Macaca fascicularis: one gene and its partner. The protein of the gene in region 1 interacts with the protein of each later gene in a biochemical or structural test. Links are inferred from orthologs where the notes say so. Each region holds a gene or a part of one and is shown in the gene's direction. Other genes may lie near its edges.

The links. The genes of interacting proteins can lie anywhere in the genome.
Region 2: the proteins of ARFIP1 (region 1) and ARF3 form a complex in vitro, tested with the Homo sapiens proteins (2 studies listed by BioGRID). The link is inferred for Macaca fascicularis from reciprocal best matches to the Homo sapiens genes ARFIP1 and ARF3.

What each region holds. Positions count from the first base shown.
Region 1 is NC_088379.1:157,703,775-157,707,760, forward strand, and holds the start of ARFIP1 (arfaptin-1), read left to right. Parts: upstream 1-1,186; 5' UTR 1,187-1,215; coding exon 1,216-1,344; intron 1,345-3,986. UniProt on the Homo sapiens protein: Plays a role in controlling biogenesis of secretory granules at the trans-Golgi network. Mechanistically, binds ARF-GTP at the neck of a growing secretory granule precursor and forms a protective scaffold.
Region 2 is NC_088385.1:55,751,915-55,754,753, reverse strand, and holds part of ARF3 (ADP-ribosylation factor 3), read left to right. Parts: intron 1-191; coding exon 192-433; intron 434-1,270; coding exon 1,271-1,381; intron 1,382-1,598; coding exon 1,599-1,723; intron 1,724-2,269; coding exon 2,270-2,431; 3' UTR 2,432-2,839.

The sequences.
Region 1 (3,986 bases):
ACTGTGGAGTCAGGCGGCTGGGGGGGGGTGCTAGTCCGCGAAGTGCGCCCTCGCGTTTGCCCTGCCAGCCCTACAAAGTTACTTTCCCTTTTAGCGGGCTCGTGAGTGCCGGCCGCCTCCCCTCCGCCTGCTCCCTCCCGCGACTCAGCCCGGGGGCGGGTCTGGGTGCGGCGGCCGCCTCCCGTCCGCCTGCTCTTTCCCTCTATCTGTCATCCCGTGTCCTTTTTCCTTTACATTCAGTCTCTTTTTTTTTTCTGTCTCTCTCTCTGACTCTCCACGTCTGCCGTTTCCTCCCCTTTCTCTTTCCGATTTTCCTTCTCACTTTTTCCCTCTCCCGTCTTTTATGGTCTCTCTCTCACTCATTCTCACTTTCTGTGTCTCTTCCTGTAAAGGAATGTGGGTTAGAATCCCTGTAAAGGAAATCTGATCTGACTTATTAATGATAGCTAGTCGCAAGCGCACTTTGGCAGCCCGGGGACCGGGGCCGGAAGTGCGCGCCGGGAGCCCGGGGACCGGGGCCGCAAAGGCACGCTGGAAGCTGGGAGCCCGGGGACTGGGGCCGCAAACGCGCGCGCCCGGGAACCGGGGCAATTCAGACCGCACGCGCGCGCCCGGGAACCGGGGCAATTCAGACCGCACGCGCGCGCCCGGGAACCGGGGCAATTCAGACCGCACGCGCGCGCCCGGGAACCGGGGCAATTCAGACCGCACGCGCGCGCCCGGGAACCGGGGCAATTCAGACCGCACGCGCGCGCCCGGGAACCGGGGCAATTCAGACCGCACGCGTGCGCCCGGGAACCGGGGCAATTCAAATCACATGCGCGCGCCCGAGAACCGGGGCAGAGTCAGCTGTTGCCCGGATCGCGAACGCGCTCCGGCAACTCAGACCGCCAGCGCGCCCCGGCAGTCGGGGTCAGAGTCAGCTGCTGCCCGGATCGCGAACGCGCTCCGGCAGCTCAGATGGCAATTTAAATCAGAAGAGAGCCAGGGGACGTCTCCCACCGGTCTCCGCTGGCTGTCCTATAGCGCGTCCGCCAGGACTGTGCCAGCTCCAGTTTCAGACCTCGCGAGTCAGATTCAGATTCAGAACAGACATACAGACACAGACAGACAAACGGAGACGAGCCAGCTCACCTATCAGTAGATCGATCCTAGCAGATCCGTTGACCAGGGGTCTGGTGGGCTTGGGGAATACCGGACGAGCCCCCAGATGTTATGCCCAGACTGTTTGTTCCCCAAAGAAGACCACCAGAGTCCAGTGTCCAAGCCAAGCAGCAAGGATCTTTACTACAAGTTCGAACTTGGTCCCTCCATTCCACAGTATACAAGAGGGCCCCGAACAATGCGAGCGTTTGCTTTTTATAGCCCGAGAGTTACAGGGGAACAAAGGAATTCTTTTGATTCTCGTGCTTTCAGTAAAAACTTGAATGGCCGTCTCCTTATCGGAGACTTTCCAGGTGGTGTTTGTACTGGGCTCAGGGAGTTTGAGAGATATATGGCAGTATGTGGTGGGATGGGAGGATGGGATGTGTTTGTACCAGGCTCAGGGAGTTTCGAGCCCGGGGGCTGAGGAATGTGCCCAGCTCCTTTCAGTACTTTCTCTGGTTTCATGTTTTATATCTAGATTCCTAATCTATTTGGAGTTTATTCTGGAGTATGATATGAGATAGAGATCAAGTTTTATATTTTCCAAATGGATACCTAGTTTTCCTGGCACCATTTATAGAAAAGTCCATCTGTACTTTAGTGATTTGAGATGCCACCTTTGTTATTTACTAAATTTCTGGGTATGTTTGGGTCTAATTCTAGACTTTTTAAATTCCACTGGTCTATTTATGTCTAGTCCCACACTGCTTTAATTATAGGTGATTTTTGGTGTTGTAGTGTTTGTAAAGGTGGTCTACTTGTGGTTTTCCTTTTTCAATGTCTTCCTACCTATTCTTGCATGTTTGATTTTCCATATCAACTTGAACATCAACTTTCCAAACTTTACAGAATAGCTTGTTAGTATTTTCATTGTATTTTCTCGAATTTATAAAGTAAGGGAGAAATGTCATCTTTATAATGTTGTCATCCTGTCTAAGAATGGGGATGTCTTTCTGTTTGCTCAGGTGTTCTTCAGTGTCTTTCAGTGGTGCTGAAATTTTCCTTGTGTGGTTTTTACACGTTGTTTAGTTTATTCCTAAGTATTTAATCTTTTTGTTGCTACTATAAATGGGATTTTCTCTGCCATTATTTTCTCTGATTATTGATTTTGTATAGGAGAACTATTTTTTGTATGTTAATTTATTGTCTTGCTACTTCATTGAATCTTATTTTTGAGTTAATTTTATTATTGATTCTTCAAGGGTTTTTAGGCTACTATTATATCATCTGCAAATAAAGATAGTTTTACTTTCTCCTTACCTATTATTTATCTGATTGATTTTTCTTAACTAGTTGATTTGGCTAATACCTCTAGTATGATGTTGAATAGTAGTAGAAATGGCTGGGCGTGGTGGCTCACGCCTGTAATCCTAGCACTTTGGGAGGCTGAGGCAGGTGGATCACCTGAAGTCAGGAGTTTAAGACCAGCCTGGCCAACATGGTGAAACCCTGTCTCTACAAAAAATTAGCTGGGCGTGGTGGCAGGCACCTGTAATTCCAGCTACTCTGGGTGGTTGGAGGCAGGTGCTGAGGCAAGAGAATCGCTTGAACCTGGGAGGTGGAGGTTGCAGTGAGCCAAGATCGCGCCACTGCACTCCAGCCTGGGTGACAGAGCGAGACACCGTCTCAGAAAACAATAATAGTAGTAGAAATGGTGGGCATCTTTGCCTTTTTGCTAATCTTAGTGGAAATGCCTTTGTTATTTCTTTATTAAATAATTTAATGGTGGTAGGACTAAAATGTATATATTTTATCATTTTGAGAAATTACCTCTTAATTCTTGTTTCCTTGAGTGTTGGGTTTCAAATGGGTGTTGAATTTTGTCACATACACTCCATCTCAGTGGTATGGAGAAAATTGTATGTTTGCTACCTGCCTTAGATTTATGAATACGGTATGTACTAATAGATTTCCTAATTGAACCAATCCTTTACCTCTAGGATAAATCCCATTTGGTCATGTTGTATTATTTTCTTAATTATTACATTCTGTTAGCAAACAGTAAAATCGTTCCCTCCATTGTATTTCTAGAGTAAAAATTTGTTTCTTTGCATTGTTGTAGCTAAAATGGTGTCTTGGTACTTATTTGTGTGTGTATTTGTCTCTGTGATTGGATTCAGAGTGCTTTTAGAACTGGAACTAGAGTTTACTTTTTATTACCCTTAGTGCCTAGCAGAATTCTTCATATGTAGTTGGTATTATCTAAATTTTACTGAATAAAAATAGAAGCAGAAATAGCACATTAAACTTTTCTTGAATGAAATTTGAATATCATGTTTCACTTAGATAGCGAACAGTCACATCAGTCCTGAAGAGCACTACCACCACATGAAGGTGGGGAGATCTGAGTTCCGGTCTGGAACTTTGTTTTACTTAGGTCACAAAAACTAACATTTTGGCATCAGACATCACAGTTTTTTCATCTGTCAAATCAAGCTGATGGTCTGATCTTTAAAAATCTGTTTCATATCTGAATGATCTTATGAAATTAATTTTTGCTTTTTGCAGTGTGCATTTTTACATTTTGCCAGATAATTTTTCTAAATTTTTATTTGTCTTTAGAATGGTTTGCCTGTTGTAATGAATAGATATACATATGATTGTAGATAGTATTGAAAAGCAAATTCTGAATACAAATAAATTAGTTATTATTTTCCCCGGTTTTTTAGTTGGACAAATTTAACCTTCAGAGAGATGGTGACTGATTTAGAGGAATTAGTAAGACTGGAGCACAACATGGGGTTTTATGACTCCAGTTGCAGTGTTTCTGTGCCAATCTGCCATCTGTTTATGTGACACAGTACTAGGCACAGTGTTTCTTCAACTAAGCCAAGCTACTG
Region 2 (2,839 bases), on another chromosome or scaffold:
GGGATCCTTAGTGTTTACTGCTTTGTCTCTGTTCCCAAAGACTCAGTATGTTAAGTGGGCCTTGGTATTTATAGTCCCCTCAGACTCTCGGTTTGTCATGAATGAACTCTAGCCATGACCTTGGGAAATTCTAATTACGTGGAAGTCCTGACAAGCAAATGATGGTACGATTTTACATTTCCTTTGTCTAGGATCAGGTCTTCCATACCAGGGACCAGGCCAAAACCAGACTGCCACTGCCCCCTACTTGGGCCCCACTGTCCCCAGAAAGCAGTTGCTGTGATCATGGGCAATATCTTTGGAAACCTTCTCAAGAGCCTGATTGGGAAGAAGGAGATGCGCATCCTGATGGTGGGCCTGGATGCCGCAGGAAAGACCACCATCCTATACAAGCTGAAACTGGGGGAGATCGTCACCACCATCCCTACCATTGGTAAGAGCAGAGCTTGGATGTGGGCTTTCATGCCAGCAGCTGAGTCAGGGCAGGGACCTATTCCTGGTTCTCCCACCTGGCCTCTTCTCCCCAGGCAAGTCCATACAATTTGTGGGGTTCAGAAAAGAGGGGGGTGTTGTTTAGCTTACTAGCAGATGCTGGGGCTGCTGTTTGCCCACCTAACCTGGCTCTCCCTGATGCAGGAACTTCCATGGCCTGGCACTCAACAGTTGCCCTCAGGCATGGAGTTGGTTTTTTCTCTGTGTTGTTTGGAAAGCAGGTGAAAGGCTTTGATGTTCCTTCCAAAGGCTTGGAATTGCTTGGGTTTAGGTCTTTGGTGGCCAATCTTGGTTACAGTCTGCTGAAGGGAGGGAGAACATTTGCCATGTAGTGGGGGCTCCAGTCAGCATTCTCAGCTGGCTCTGCCTTTGGGGCTCCAGGATGCCAGCTTACTTCCCTTTCTTCACTCTGCCTCTCAGGCCTCACATCTTAGCTGAGGCCAACTCTGGTAGCCAAAGTACCAGAGTAGGGCTGAGTCATTTTGTAGAAGGGAGCACCAAAGACTCAGTGGAAAAGTCAGGAAAGTTGGCCCACGTTACCCAAGCAACTGTGAACCTCTTGACCGACTTTCCTCATCTTCTTCGACTTCTCTTCGGTTTTCATTTTGGCCTTCAGGCTGCTAGGTTAACGATTACCAGGTCTGAGGAAGCCTTAGGCTTTTTTCCATTGTTGGTGTCATGGCCACCACTGGGAGAAAGCAGAACCAAACTCATTGTGGTGGTGGTTGCAGGGCTAGTGTTTGAGGCCAAGTGACCATTGCCTGTTTTTTTCCCAAAGGATTCAATGTGGAGACAGTGGAGTATAAGAACATCAGCTTCACAGTGTGGGATGTGGGTGGCCAGGACAAGATTCGGCCCCTCTGGAGACACTACTTCCAGAACACCCAAGGTATGCCCAGGCCTAGCATGGGTTGGTTGGGTTTGAGCAGAGTGTGTGGCTGTCTTTCTTGTTTATGGGTGGCCAACTGTTACCCTGCTATAGCTCCTGGGGGCAGAAGAAAGGGAGGAAAGGGAGCAAATATTTGGAGGGTGTCAGGCAAGTGTCTTCTTGTTGGGGGGAGGGGGTTACCTGTCATCTTAGTGCAGCCCATGCTCTGCCTCCCTAGGGTTGATATTTGTGGTCGACAGCAATGATCGGGAGCGAGTAAATGAGGCCCGGGAAGAGCTGATGAGAATGCTGGCAGAGGACGAGCTCCGGGATGCTGTACTCCTTGTCTTTGCAAACAAACAGGTGAGACTTCTTCCCACCCCAGAATCTGGGAGACAGCAAACTGGCTGTGGAAATTGTTGGGTCTTGGGCCTATTATATGGTAAACCCTTTTAGTATGCTCTCAATTTTAGAAGTGTGGGAAATTGAGCAGTTGGCTTCTTTATGCCCCTCTTCTCGTGCCCCACCCCAGCTTTATTTAGCAACATTGCAGTCCTCAGGGATTGCCTCAAATCTTTCTTTCATCTTGCCTATTATCTACTTTAGGTGAATTGGCCTCACTCCTGCTGTCAGACAGACCTGATTCTTTGGTCAGTTTGAATCACGTCTCTTGCTTCCCCACCAATCTCGTATTTGGTTTCCAATTCCTCAGTACAGTGACCTCCAGTGCCTTGGATCTTGGGTTTTAGGGTGACTAAATCCAAAGTAGCTCCTTAGGATCTTGGTCTGGGTTTCCTAAAATAAAGGAGGAGGGGAAGGTGCTGGTACACATTTCTTTGGTAGATGGGTGTTCTAGAAGCCTTTAAAAAATCCTGAGGCTTCTTTTTGTGTGTCTCCCACGTGCTCCAGGATCTGCCTAATGCTATGAATGCTGCTGAGATCACAGACAAGCTGGGCCTGCATTCCCTTCGTCACCGTAACTGGTACATTCAGGCCACCTGTGCCACCAGCGGGGACGGGCTGTACGAAGGCCTGGACTGGCTGGCCAATCAGCTCAAAAACAAGAAGTGAGAGCCAGACAGCCCTAACCAAGCACCCCACCCACCCCTGACATACCTGCTGTCACCCTGCCCCAGTCCTACCCCTTCCTCTCCACTGCAAGTGTGGCCAGGGCCCTGGGTATCATGTCCGCATGCCCAGCAAGAGCCTTGCCTCCCCTGCCTCCCCTCCTTTTTCCTGTCCACCTATATGACCAATCCCTAATTGCTGTCCTGATGATGAGTCATTCCAATTTACTGGATTTTAAACAAAAACAAAGTTGTTATGGTTTCATGGGGTGGCCCCTCTCTCTCTCACCCTCTGGGTTTCGGGAGGTCGAGTGGGGTATTCTCTTTGTTTGGCAGTGGTTGCTGTCCTCTTGGCATCTGAATCCTTTCTCTGTCCCCACAAGCCCTTCTACTCCCTGTTTGTCTTTCCTTC